Alligator mississippiensis: one gene and its partner. The protein of the gene in region 2 purifies or fractionates together with the protein of the main gene of each other region. This does not show direct contact. Links are inferred from orthologs where the notes say so. Each region holds a gene or a part of one and is shown on either strand. Other genes may lie near its edges.

Evidence for each region.
Region 1: the proteins of PRKACB (region 2) and CDK5RAP2 purify together in Homo sapiens (affinity purification with mass spectrometry; 4 studies listed by BioGRID and IntAct, counting the BioPlex papers as one, with this or other methods). This does not show direct contact. The link is inferred for Alligator mississippiensis from reciprocal best matches to the Homo sapiens genes PRKACB and CDK5RAP2.

The regions. Positions count from the first base shown.
Region 1 is NC_081835.1:56,638,224-56,646,045, forward strand, and holds the start of CDK5RAP2 (CDK5 regulatory subunit-associated protein 2), read right to left. Parts: upstream 3,033-7,822; 5' UTR 2,818-3,032; coding exon 2,765-2,817; intron 2,676-2,764; coding exon 2,608-2,675; intron 1-2,607. UniProt on the Homo sapiens protein: Potential regulator of CDK5 activity via its interaction with CDK5R1. Negative regulator of centriole disengagement (licensing) which maintains centriole engagement and cohesion. Involved in regulation of mitotic spindle orientation.
Region 2 is NC_081828.1:27,864,922-27,871,953, reverse strand, and holds the start of PRKACB (cAMP-dependent protein kinase catalytic subunit beta), read right to left. Parts: upstream 3,006-7,032; 5' UTR 2,991-3,005; coding exon 2,804-2,990; intron 1-2,803. UniProt on the Homo sapiens protein: Mediates cAMP-dependent signaling triggered by receptor binding to GPCRs.

The DNA of each region.
Region 1 (7,822 bases), on a different chromosome or scaffold from region 2:
TAATCCATTTCATCTTAGCTACAGGCTTTGTAGCTAAGTTTTGGTTGCATTAGCTTACCTATGCACACCCCTGGGTCAGACGTCCCAGTTATACCTGTAACACCCATTCAAAGCAGCAGATGCCAAGGGGATTCACCAGTGCAACATTTGCATGCTGGAAAATGAAGCAAAGAAATACCCATAGACAAACAATGGGTAACTCGCTACTAAAAAACGTGCCATTTCCACATAGCCAATTCTGCAAGTCAATATTACAAAGTGCAGCATTTGCATCCAAGGTTTTTCTGCATAAAATCTTAAAAACAACAGGTTGGGCCGGGGGGAATTAGTTCTAGAAAAATGCTTAAAACAAATCAAAACAACACACAAAATGTAGCATCTTAAAATAAATAAACCCAAGGAGAAAAGGTAGAACTCAGAGACCACAGAAAGGACTGAGGTCCTAGATTCAGCCTTGTGGCTACTAAAAGAAAAAATAAGTATCTTCCAACTTGGAATAATTCTACATACACAGTTATATATGCACAACAGTCTGAAAAACCCCTGGAAATGCTCGCTTTTGAGATCTTAAAATCCTGAAGTTGTGATTAATCTAATGAGACATCATTCTTAAAACAACTAAGAGAATACAGCCACAGCTATATTGCCATTCAAGCATGTTTTTCAGAATGTATTTTTGTTTCATAACCTTAATATGCTCCCAGGATAAGTATACATAAATTGCTTTAATAATGGAGCAGCAGTAGCTATTTGAAATTACATCTACAACACACTTTAGTTAACTGCACAAATACACAGTGGCCAGACCAGCCTCCAAATCGCATGGACCAGAAATATGGTCCAAGACGCACACAATTGTTATAACTGTGCAAACAGCACTTCACAAAATAATAGGATACATCCATTTTGCTTCAAAAGCAATGTATCAGGCTATATTTTCTCTAAAACCTGCAATAAGACGAACTTGGCAGCCACCACAAGGTCACAATAAAGCAAAAGATGATAAATTATTGTCCTTGATCAATACAGGGCAGTAAAACTTTATGGAAAGACTTTCTTTTCCCTTTAGAAAGGAACATGGAGCAGGTGCTGACTCAGCCACAACAGAAAGCAAAACTCTCACAACCTAACTAGGCTGCAGCTGGAAAGCCCTGCATGAAACTTTAATGCCATTTTTCTAAAAAAAAAATTACTAAGAGTGAACCATCAATAGTGCTAGTTAGTCCAAGCAGTTCAGAGCCTGGTCCTCAGGATCTTAATGGCAACGGAAACATAAATGTTTTGGACTAATACTAGTATCTGCAGGAGTAGCTCGAGTTTAGAAGGTTTTCTGGCTTTTTAGAAAAGGGATCATCACCATCATCACGTTATCTGTTTGGTAAATAGTGCCTTGTAATCTGAGTGACAATTCCTTGCCACTGGTTATGGTTTTCTACGAGATGCATAACTTCTGCTGATAACAGAGAGCAGGCTGGATTTAAGAAGGCCCCCAAATTGTTACAGAAATAGCAAGTCTTCTCTGCTGCTTCCCAGCCATTGGGGCAGGCCAGAGAAGTAGGCAAACGCACATGTGCACCATAAATAGAGATTTCTTTGCCTAGGAAACAATGTAAAAACCCTCTAACTCGTGAGCATCCAGGTGCTTCATTAAGCTTGCGCCTTTCCTCCCCGCTAGGCTAATGCATTCAGTGGCACTCGGGTGGGTGGGCAGTTTCACTTTCAGAGTCTCCCCAGGTTTGGGTTTCAAACAGAGCACCGAAACAAGTTGCAATTTAGATGAAAAAGAAAAATCAGCGGTCAGCTATGAATGTTAAACCCCTGCTACACATTGCCTACATTGCTCAACCCACTGATGAAAGCATTATAAATGTACACTGGCCAAGCATGCAAGTAATTACCGTGGAAGTCATTGGTGAAACACATTATAAGTGTATACCGGTCACCTATGCAAAGCAATCACCATGCAACTCACTGGTGAAACACGCTATAAGTGTATACCGGTCACCTATGCAAAGCAATCACCACGCAACTCACTGGTGAAACACAAACATACTATACATAACAAGTAATTATTGTGTAATCCACTGATGAACTGTGCAAGCCATGTACACCAGCCACCCATGCAAAGAAACTATTACACAAATCACGGTTGAATCACGCCATAAATGTAGACCAGCCATCCGTGCAACGTAATCGTACAACTGACTGTCAAACCGTGCCATATATGTGCCCCTGCCTCCCGTGCAAAATAATTATCACACACTTCACTGGGGAACCAGGCAATAAACATGCAATACATGCATCGCGCAAAGGCGCCCTCGTGCACATCACTGGTGAATCGCACAATAAACCCGTCGCCCGCACAAAGCATCTGCCACGCCATTCAGTGCCATAAATGCACCCCGGCCACCCGCACAAAGTCATGGTGGCAGGAGATGAAAACAAATGAGGGACCAGTTTTAAAGAGAAGAGCCGACCCGCTGCGGGGTCGCACACAAAGCGCCCGCGCGGGTTTCTATCGCGCGTCAAGTGCACGTGTGTGCGGCAGGGCGGGCCCGCGGGAACCGCGCCAACTTTCCCGGGGGTGTCCGGGCAGCCCCCGCTCACCTGCGCTGCCGGCCGAGCCGGGCCGGGCCGCATCCCCGGGCACGTCGGGCAGGTCGGCCACGTTGACGCTGAGGGAGAAAGAGATGCGGGTCAGCGCGGGCGGCGGGACGCGGCGCCACGCGGGGAGGAGGGGGTGACACCGCGGTTAAGCTCCTACCTGCCGCCCAAGTCCAGGGGCAGCGTAGGGTCGTCCCCCGGCAGCGAGTCCATGGCGGCGGCGGTACCCGGTTATTATTGTGCGAGTTTGGCGGCTCCGCTGGAATTCAAACGGCTGCAGCTGCTTCCGCCATCTTGTGGCCCTGACCGTGAAGCCGTTGAAGCCGCCCCAGGAGGGCCTGGCACCAGGGCACCGTAGACATCTATGGGGAAAGCCGCCATCTTTGCTGAGGGAGCCGCCTGCGGAAGCGCGCGCGGACGCCCTCTTAACTGAGGGCAGACGGGGGTGGACAATGCCAACTGGGCTGTGAGCGGGGTAGGAGTTGAGTGTGGGCAGCTGCCATCTTGAGTGAGGGAAGGAAGGCGGGGAGTCTGAGCAGCCGTCAGTTTGCAATAGAAGCTGGTTAAGAAGGTGCCATCTTTACTAAGGGCATTGTGTTGCGTCGTTAGGACAAGAACATGTGTGTGGGCGCCGCCATCTTTATTTAGGGCCCCGTGGTGCGCAGTTCGGGGAGAAGGTACAGGGCATCTTTGCGGATAAAGTGGATATAATTAGGGGGCTGTGTCAGATCACCAGGCGGTGCCCTCAGGGATCCTCTAGGTCACCAGGGGCTACCAGTTGCCGCAGGCTGTCCCCCCAGTGCCACTCCCTTCCCTTTCCCGTGCCTGATCCACTGCTCTGCTTTCTACTTCCTTCCCTGTCCGCCCTTCCCGATCTGCTGCTCTGCTTTCTGTTTCCTTCCCTGTCCGCCCTTCCCGATCTGCTGCTCTGCTTTCTGTTTCCTTCCCTGTCCGCCCTTCCCGATCTGCTGCTCTGCTTTCTGCTTCCTTCCCGATCTGCTGCTCTGCTTTCTGTTTCCTTCCCTGTCCGCCCTTCCTGATCTGCTGCTCTGCTTTCTGCTTCCTTCCCTGTCCGCCCTTCCCAATCTGCTGCTCTGCTTTCTGCTTCCTTCCCTGTCCGCCCTTTCCGATCTGCTGCTCTGCTTTCTGTTTCCTTCCCTGTCCGCCCTTCCCGATCTGCTGCTCTACTTTCTGCTTCCTTCCCTGTCCGCCCTTCCTGATCTGCTGCTCTGCTTTCTGCTTCCTTCCCCGTGGGCCTTTCCCGATCTGCTGCTCTGCTTTCTGCTCCCTGCTCCCTTTCCATCTGCCAGGTGCAGGGTTTCCAGCTCTGTCTGAATCTATCGCAGGAGGTTTCATCACACGATGCAGAGACATGAATGATTGATCTACTGTACTCAGGAAAACAAATGTATGTTACTATTACTTTTTAAAACTGTAAAAACCCACGGGACTGCAGTATAAATTGGATTTGACATTTAATATCTATTTTAATGAATGCTCTATCATTTATCTCCTGGGTGACTCTCAGCCGTCTCCTGAAGATTATATCTCAATCCTGGAGACTCCAGGGCTGGCAACTCCTAGCCAGGTGCCCTGCACATGGGATGCCTCTGCCACTTGTGGCATAAGTGTGGCAGATTGGCCAGCCCCGGGTTTGGGAATGGTGGCCACATTAGGTTGGCTTAGCAACAGCTGGCCATTTTTTGAGGCTATTGGGTGAATGCCTGCTTCTAAGAGTGGGCGGCACAGGGCCTGACTTTCAAAGGCCTCGAGCACCAAGATTGGCAGAAGTGAATGGAATTGGTGGGGTGCGGGACAGCACCTCTGACCAGCAGAGCCCCAGCTCCCACCCACAGCCCAGCTGCATTGGTTCATCTGGACACACTGCATCTTCCTTGGGTTACGGGCATGGCCATCCACATTGCACTAACCCATGCATTTAACTGCGGGGTCAAGCTTATGCAGGCCTGTGTGTGTGTCAAACAGAGCCTGCCAACAAAAGAAGAATTAGGGCCTGTCCTTTGACTCCCTTGAAATACAGGACATGGGTTTGGAAGGGAATGAATGCAAACAGCATGAAGCCATGGGGAGCCTTTCCCCTGCTCTAACACTACTTCATCTCTGCTTGGGAGCCTGTGAGAAAGTGTATTGTCTGCTCAAATAAAATGTGTAACAGCAGGTGCTCAAGTACTAGTGATCTGGAATATGCATTTACCGATAAATAGGTAGGTAAGCAGGTATGATGGATAGAATTAGTCTCACGATTTAAGTTTCTTGTTATTTTAAAAGCAAAATGTATAATTCAGGGATCTAAAACCAAGAATCCTGTCCATCATAACAAATCAACCTTGAAAATACCACCTGAAATAAGTTTATTAAATGCATAAGCTTGCTCAATGCCGAGATGAAAGCTACAAAAGAATTGGTATTTTGCCAGAGTAGTATACTTAACCATGCAGTGTATTGTTAGATCGAGTTTTATCGCCCTAGGGGTGTTCTCTTTCCTCAATATGTGTGTGCAATTTCCATTACTGCTGCTTTCAAGCAGCTAGGAAATATATACCCTTCAACTGTATTCAGGTAAGAGCCTGTTTTTAAGATGATCCACTCCAGAAACATCCACGCTACATTTCTGCAAATGGATCATTTTATCTTAAAAATAAAGTGACAATCCATTATGAAATGCCATATTTTAACATTATATATAATTTCACCATTGAATGGTATTTGTATCAGCTTGTACAAGGGTAGTATCCCAAACTTGATTTTATTCTAACCCCATACAATATTTCCATGTAAACCGCGTGAAATGCTCTATGTATGCCCAATTCATTTTTTCCTTCGTTAGGAACAACGCATTGACAGCCATGCTGTACGATTTGCGAGTTAGTCACTGGCACAGGCTCACGTCTTAGTTTGGTTTGACATTTAATCTCTAGAATTCAGAGCTGGTGATTGGGTCACACTTTTCAAGATTAAGTCCAGGGGAAACTTCTATCTGAGGCACTTATGTAGGCCTCATCATCATAGTAAATAAAAGTGGCGTCTGGAGGAGGGCAACTGAAACTGGCACTGACCGGGGATGGGGTTGGAGTGCAGGAGGGGCAGAAAAAAATAGCTGTCACAGCAGCCGCATGATCACACCTGCAGCAGCAATGACCAGAAGTCACCACTACCCCCGTGTGTGGCCAATGCCCCAGGCACCTGGCCATTGTTACACCGCTAAGTGAATGCCTCACAGTCTTTAACGAGTTTATGTTCACAACGTGGATGCAGTGTATTTGTCCAGGGTCCCTCAAAGAGTCAGGGGCAGACCTTAGGAGAATGCAGTTAGTTATTTAAAGCCCAGACTGGCATCCTACCTGCTGGACAATCCCTTCTCTCATCTTGGTCCTACCTTTATTAATAATGTTTACATAGCAGTAAGCCATATTTGTTATCTCTATTGGAGACCTAATGTGTCCGAGGATTCCTGTCTTCTATTACGATACAGGCAGGACTGTGTTACTGTATGCCAGTTGCTTTCATTTGTCAGCACCTCCCTTGACTACTTCAGCTGATACCGTGCAGAACAGGTACTTTGGATCCCAAAGCTGGATTGTGTTATTCTTCTATAAGCTTTTCAAAACTTGACTGACATGCTTTTATAGTTTTAATGAATTAGTTGAATCTTTTTGGTAGGATTTAAACATTCTCCTGCAGTGTTTGCAATCTAAATATTGCACCACTAGCTTGACTGATCGTATAGCGAAAGCTGATGACTCGACTTCTATCATCCCAACTAAACGAAGGAGCAAGGCAGGAGTCCCCCCAGGTGTCAACAATGAAAAAATGAATACTTTCAGTTTAATAATATGCAGCATTACCTATAGCATAAGGACAGAGATGATTTCAGTATCTGATAAAGCAAGCTACTGCTTATTAAAGTTTATGCATCTCTAGTTTGTCTGTAAGATACAAATGTACCCCATTTTCTGAGAGAAGGCTGCCTAGGGCCAGTCTACAGGATCAGCCCATGTCTGTTTATTAGACTATTTTCTCCTCTATGTTTGTAGTGCTGGATTACACTTATTCACCATAACCATCTGGACTGTGTCAAGAAGATGCTTACCTCCTCAATGCACAGGCTTGGAATCAGCACCAGTATGTGAGCCTGCCTGTTGTTATTACCTTATCACTCTGGATTCCCGTTTCATCCTGTTACTCCATTTTCTGTAAATGGAATTAATTTCTCTTTCTGAAACACCTAAACGCCAAATACTAGCCTGTAAATTCAGGTGATGCCCTATGTTTCCCAACCAGTGAGTGCCAGTAACTCTGCTGTAGGCTTCTCCTTCCTACCTTGATCTTACCTTTCATTCTGCGGTATGTGTACAAAATTCAAAATGGAGCCGGGGTTACAGTAACACAGACCAAATGGAAAATGCCTGGTAATGACTAGTAAAAACACTTAATCTCTTAGCCGGGAACAGGTGGAAATTTCTAAGGCTATGCAACTGGAGTCTGAGTCTTAGTGAGAGTTCGTGGTATTGACGGGACCTGATCGTCTCAGTCTTTCTGGACTGATTGGTAGTTTTAAAACTGCATCTGCTAAATGGTAGCCAGACTAATCAGCTAATCAGTAGAAATTGTTTTTCTTCTTAAGGTGATCGGTCACAGAGAGTAACATTCATCTTGATGCCCAACATGACCCAATGGTTCATAAACAATAAGGAACTACGGTGTACAATATTTGTCATGTGGCATTAAAGTAGCGACAGCCAGCCACAGAGCCACTAGGCAGAGCATTTACTACCTAAATGATATAAGCCAGTATAGCATACGCCCTGCAACATCTCTCAACACATGCTGTCCCCTGCTATTGAACTGAAATCAACAGGCCCACTGTTAAGAAAGGCACTGCCCTAAATGGAGGTGGATGTGCATTTTACAATGAGATAACCCCTTTGGATCAAACAAAAAGATGCATTCGATCAAATGGATCAATAAGAGCTATGATGGTAACTGGGATGTCTGCATTACAAAATCTGCGGTAACACCATGGAGTTGTAAAGGGGGGGGAAAAAATTATCATTTTGAAGTAGTTAACAACTTGCCCTCCGCTAATCAGATTAGCATTGTTTAGCCTTATCTTAATTAGCAGTACATGTTAGGAGATTATACTAAATCCTTGTAGCAGCAATTTGTATTGAAAAACTCTATTATCTGTCCTACTCCT
Region 2 (7,032 bases):
TTTATCATCAACAGACACGACATTCCATTTCCTCTTCAAACAAGTCATGCAAGTGAGATTGCCTTAAATAATTAAAGAAAAATGCTTGTATACAAAAAGGTCAGTTTGTAGATGTCAATAGGCCAATACTTAGTTTTGGTTTTTATTATACAGTTGAACAAAGGACAGTGCTACAGTATTTTTCAGTCTTGTAAACATTAGGACAACTTCTTGAAAACTTTAAATTGTGCCTCCTGAATGTATTTCCGCTCCTCTCCACCCCCTGTCAAGGTGTGAAAACATGTAGATTTCGTGGACTAGGATACAGAAATGTTTAGGGATCTTAGGGCTCAACGCTTCATTATATTCTAGACCATCTCTCTCCAAATCTTCTCTTCTGTCAAGCAGATAGGGCTTTATACTTATCTCCAGAGCATCTGAGCCTACCAAATACATTAGCAAACTAAGCCTCACAAGGAAAGCAGGAAAGTGTTTAAATGACGTAGTTATTCCCATGTAAAATTCATGGTGCAGCCCAAAATGGACCTATCTTTTTTCATTCCCAATTTTTCTGCATTAATGACAAGACTATCCTTCCATCTAAAAAAATATCAGGATTCTGCCTGCCCTAGAGAACTCAGACGCTAGAATCAATGCCGTAAGTCTCCCCACTGCTTCCCTTGCTCAATAGAAGCATGGTTCCTGTAGAGCAGGGGCGCTCAACCCCCAGCCCACAGGCCAACCTTGGTCTGCAGACATGGCATCAGGCCTGCAAGGCTCCCCAAGGGTTGGGAAATTTGGCAAGGCTAGCCATGAGCAGCCAGACTGGAGCCTGTCCAGGATTTGGATCAAGCTGGATCATGGCTGGGCCACCCCACCTTCCCTTCCCTCACTCTCCCATGTACAGCTGGATAGGGGCCAGACCACACCCCTGCCCTCTGCACAGCTGGCCATGTCCCCTTGTCTCTGTGGACAGACCAGGCACTGCCCATTTGGCCTGCAGTGCAAAAAGGTTAAGCCAATCTCAGAATACCACAGGATCCTTTTAAGCATATCATGGGGTGCTGCTCAGTATTAGCACTGTTAAGGGTGCAAACATCTACACACAATCTACACGATAAACCCAAGAATTCGAATAAGAAACATTCTGACATATTGTGGTCTGAGTTCTTTGCGACAGAATTGCTGTTATTTTTCTGCAGTCAACCCGCCCCCCCCCAAAAATAAACCCAAACAAAAGCCAAGAGTAGGGTATTGCCCAAGAGGTACCTTGAGTCTAAAAATATTGAGAACTAGTGCTGTTGAGCCACCTCCAACCCCATACATCTCTAACCAGGCCTTTCACGTATGTGCAATAACAGAGAGGGAAAAGTTCCATTTTAAAGAAACCCATTAAAATTGATGTGAAAAGGAAAAAATACGTTTACAAATTATGTATAAAGCTGCGCTGAAATGTTTCAGGGGTCTCAAGTCATGCAGTTTCCCTAATGCAGTTTCCCCTTTACTCTCCTTGATGGCTGACTGTCTCATAAAACCAGGTGCTTTCTCTGTACCTCAGGTAGGAAACATAGATTGCATCTAGTGTAGGTATATGAAACACCTTCCACTTTCCATGTTTAATATACACCCTTTAAGGTTGGACCACTCACTAATGACAACGTTTTAGCTTCACAACAGGCATGTTTTTCTGCAGAGATCTTATAATACTAGGAAGTGCACACATTTTGCTTATGTCTGTTATTTTCAATAGAAGTAACTGCTTGCGTTATTCCAACTCATTGCAAATTCAGATATGAAATTAAATGCCATGACCATATTGCAATATATAAAATGTGTAGATTATGATTCATTACTTACAATAAAGTAATATTGAGCAGATATACATGCTTAATTATATACAAAAGTATTGTATAGAAGCAAGTATGTAAGAGCTAGACTTATGTCATTATAATTTACTAGGACTATGAAATCTTTAAAAGATCTCACCTTCACTTCTTCAGAAATATGGGGATGAAAGATAAGTATGTACATTTCTAATAACAAATAATTTAAGTAAATATGTACAAAGTAGCAGCATTATTTTTACTTAACTGATGATGTTTGTTGGAATCAAGTTTTGTGCATTTTAATCAAGCACATTTTATGTAACACAGATAAATACACCCCTTTCTCAGTACAAATGAACAATTATGAAATAACAGTATCAATAATCAAAGTTATAAATCAAAGTTGAGTGAAACAATCTGTAATAATAATAATCACTGAACTGCTTTGATGTTTAATGTTTTAATAAGCACTCTAAAATGAATTTTAAATTTCAGTTAAAAATAAAGCTGCACTACAAGGGACAAGTGTCCCTCTACTTAATGACCCAATCAACATAAAATAATGTCCTTCCTTTCCAAAATTTCAGAATTAAAAAAAAATCCTACCTTAAACACCAAAACACACCTGAACATTTTTTAAAACAGGAAAGCTATCAATTATTGCTTGCAAATTTACATCTTAAAGAAAGAAATGACAAACAAATGCCAGAAAGAAAAAAAGTTTGCAAAAAATTCCAGCAAGTCAACAACATTTGCCTAGAAGAAAAGGGAATTTGCAAGCAACTAACTCTCCTCCCCAAAACCCAATATTTTGAAACAATGCCATGTTTCCACCTGCATGATAAAATATCTATTTCTTTAAAGTAGTATTTCTAACTGTTAAGCTATGAAAAGATTGCTGCATTATATGGTAGTTTCTATACTGCATATTTATGTTTGTTTGCAAATTTCCTCATACTACTATGCAAAATGAACCTCAAGTGTCTAAAAGCACTTACTTGATCTGTCCCACAAGGCAGTGAATTCAGAGAAATGATGGCTCTCATCTTCCAGAGCCACTTTCTGTTCATGAACAGCACCCCTAGATTGCCTATGAAAAAGTCGATTAGCAAAGCCTTCCAGTCTCTGTAGAGCTGTAGTTGTTCCTGTGCACTGGTTACAAGCCAGTTCCTTCTGACTTGCCATCTATATACATTGACAACTTACTTTAAAAAAAAAACCAGAAAAAAAACCAACACAAAACATCTAAAAGGAGCTGAACAACTTACACAGAAGCTAAGAAGTATGCATGTGTCAAACTTCCTGTATGCAGTGTTTTGAAACCACTACTTCTGTTCTACTTCCTGTTAATATTAAACTGCACATTATGGAGCTTTTCTTAGCAAAAACCTCTTCCTATCAGCTGAAGGTGATGATTAGAAGAGCTGTTAATATTTTTCTTAAACTTGGAGTTCAACAGCTTTTTTAAAAACTAAAAATATGATGAAATAATTAAAATATACAGTCTGCCTTATGACAGAGACAAAAATCAGAAACCAGGTAATATTTAAAAAAACTGGTTATTATCCATGTATCTAAAAATAAATGAATTACAGGAAAAAGACAAAGGACAAGTTTTCCATTTCCCTCACAGGATTAAGATGCAGTCTTACCAGAATCATATATTATAGTTAATTGATTATATTAAGCTATGGTGTCCACATTTTCACATTTTCTAAGTGTTAAAAATAACTGATGGTATGTATTAAAAGCACCATTTTCTTCTTTTTGTTTAGGAAGGCCAGACTGAAGTAAAATACTGATCATTTCCTCTGCCCACATGAACAAGATTCTACAAAGCTACTGCTTACACCTTCTAGTTTTACCCTGCTGCAAAAACCAAGTTGTGAATGAGGTCACTTATGGAGTAAAAAAACTACACTGGATGACTGCTGCTAGTGGATTCTGGGCCTTACTAATGGATACATGATACATTGCTCCCCCCATCCAGCTCCCAATGTACATGAATGGATAGACACAAGATCCCAATCACCAAACTACCTCATAATATTGGAGCTCCAGCTCCAAGAGTAGTGAGATTATATGAATTCTCATTTTTCAGGTTATAAAAGGTTGTAGAATAACTTTTGAAACTACAATCCTTAAAGGATCAAAAAACAGAAAACTGATAAAAATCTAAAATGTATTACCATGTATTTTCCAATACAATCCACACCTCCTTTCCCAAAATCAGCTCCCAAAAATGGGGTGCACAAATTAAGAAGGGAAGCTGATATGCTGACTAGGATAAGTGCAGCCTGTTTCGATTCCTGCTCCACAGAGTAGCAGCTATTACAGTAAAATCCCTGTTATCTGACATCTGAGTAACTGGAACACTATTAACTGGAATTTCCGGCCGGCCATGTGCAGGGGGGAAAGCTTGCATGCGGCTGCTGCCACCGCCACCCCCCACCCTGCACTACAGCCGCTCCATGTGCGGCCCCCCCTGCTCCCCTCCGCATTCCCTACTCATGCCAGGGTAACAGGAATTTTACTGTACATTACTTTTGAGGCAGCTGAGGGAGTTGACTGACTTAATGCCTCAGTCTTCTGAAGATTAAGCTCCATCTCTACTTATGCAGATGTAACTGGAAAAAATCTTTTTCTTTTAATTTTGCCTTTCAAAGCCAATATGTGTATTCTTCTCAGTTGTATGTGAGAAAATATGCTATCTTTTGTTGCCTAACACAACACTTTTTGCATGCTTTAAGTAGACAAGTTGTTTGTGAGAGACTGAGAACATATCCTGTGGGCAATTTTTAGAAAATAAATTTCCAGCACACCTAATTTGTATACCCTAAAGTTTCCCCTAATTTAGGGAGGATGGTCTGAATATTTTTTCCATTCTCTCACTTCAAAATCCTCTTCTAGTTCACCTGTGCCTAAATATGTGCTCCTATTTTTCACCCAGGACCCTGCAACATATTCAAATTAAAGCTGGATAACTAGCTATAGTTATTACACATTTTCAAGCACTAACTTTATAGCCAGTTGGCTCTTTTTATAGCTGGATAGTCATTTTTATCATGTGATAATTACTTTGCATGTGTGGCTAGTCTAAAATTATTGCGCTATTAACCAATGAATTGTGATATAATGTTTGGTGCTGGTGGGTGTGTGTGTGTTGGGGGGGGGAAGGTTCTTACTTTGCACATGTGGCCAGTCTAAAGTTATTATGTAACTAACCAGTTAATAGCATAATTATATGTAACATGTAGCAAGGAACCCAAAGTCTTAATGTACAGCTTTCAAATAATTAGAGATGTAAGTTTTTGGACTGTACCCATCCTCATTTTATAAACGGCACAATGGTTCAGTACTAAACTATAACAGAATGGAAATTTTTCAACTTCTAACATACAAAAAATATCATGCATTTATTTGGAGAAGTGTCAGAAAATTGATCTTATTCACCTGAGGGAATGCTAAGTCATTAGGGCTGCTAAGTCAGATCCCAAACCACCAGAACCCTGATACTTTAACTTACGGAATTTGAACAAAGTGCAGGCACTTGTCTTTGGCTTGGTGTATTTAAATGAACACTTGAGCTACAAACCCTTTGCCCAGCACTACCTCACAAGAGCCAGGACCCATGGCCTGATTTCCTGATCTAGGGCACCACATTTAAACATACATCTTCTCAGAATGCACTACAAAGGTGCAACATTCTGATTTATAGCTTACTTCAATGGCTTATGACAAGTGACAATGGCACTTGTCATATGTTTGCATAGCATAGCTTACTAGGTATTTTTTCAGCTATTTGAGTTGGTCTGATAAAAAAGATATCGGATTTACCCAAAGAACCTTATCTGCATATGACAAGTGCAGCACATAAGTGTGCTCACATGCGCACACACACACTTTGCACAGGATTCTAACAAGACGCTGCTCTTTACTTAGTAGTATAGGAAATACAGATTTAGAGAAAACAATGTATGCATTTTTCTGCTTCAATATCCTCACCATTTCAGAGCATATTTTATGCTCATGGCAGTCGTCTGTGGTTGTACAAGATTCTTTTGCTGCAATTCATGGCTTGTCTTCTGAACCACAAAATCTAGAACAGCCCTCTCTCCTACCATGGTTGGTCCCACAGTAAACTAGACACACAGCTCCTGTGAAAGCACATTCATCTCTTCATACCCTGAGTTTCTTTTGTGGCTCTATGATACTTCCCCCTTCTCTGAATCCTTCTAAATTCCTTTGTCACATCTGTTGCTTTGCCCTATGTAAAGAATTTTTAATAAATTCACAGAGCAGACAGATAAAAGTAGCTTCTTGATGAAGAAGGAAGAGAAAACTGAATAGTTTTTAAACTGCTTTAACTATCATTAGCACTTTTTTGTTTTTTTACCCAACAAAAAAGTCAGGTTCACTGACTTCTGGGCTGGTTTGAGGCTCTGAAGCTGGTCAGCTTTCTGTTAAGGAGAAATAAGTGATAAACAGGGATCCTGGTTTTCTCCAATTTAAAAGAAAAAAATCCCCAATTTTTGGATATAAAAAGGTAACCCAAAATCCATAACCAAAATCCACATTTTTCCATCATTAAAATGAAACACCATTATATATAGCTACATCTAGATAAAGGTAGATCTTTCTCTCTCTCTCTACATACATACAGTAGTGTTTCATTTTAAATCACAGAAAAATGTGGATTTTGGGTTACTTATTTATATCCAAAAATTGGGGATTTTTTTTTTTTTAATAGAGGAAAAAAACCAGGATCCCTGGTGATAAGGAGTCTAGCCAGTCCTTAGTGTAGCTTGTTTTACTCATACTGTCAGCCTAGATCCTTGAACAGAGACTGTCAAACAGGTGCACAGGAACTCCTTTCAGAATTCCATAGGCAAAAACATAAATCCCCAGTTTCTAGAGAGCAACTCTATTCCAGAAATTGATACTAAGAAAGCACATTAAAGCAGACACTCCTGATCCGAGGAGTTTTTAGTGATACCTTTTTTGTGACACCTTAAGAAAGTGATACCTTGTCCATCATTTTTCCCAACTATACAGCTGGTCCAATAAAAGTTACTACAAAAAACTTTGCCTTTTTCATAGAAAGTTAAAAACCAATGGCTGTTTTACACACTTAAAGTGATCTAAAATATTATTTCAATGAATACAAAACTGTCATAAAACCCTACATTATGAACAAGGCAGAATTCACAGTTTTATACACACAACC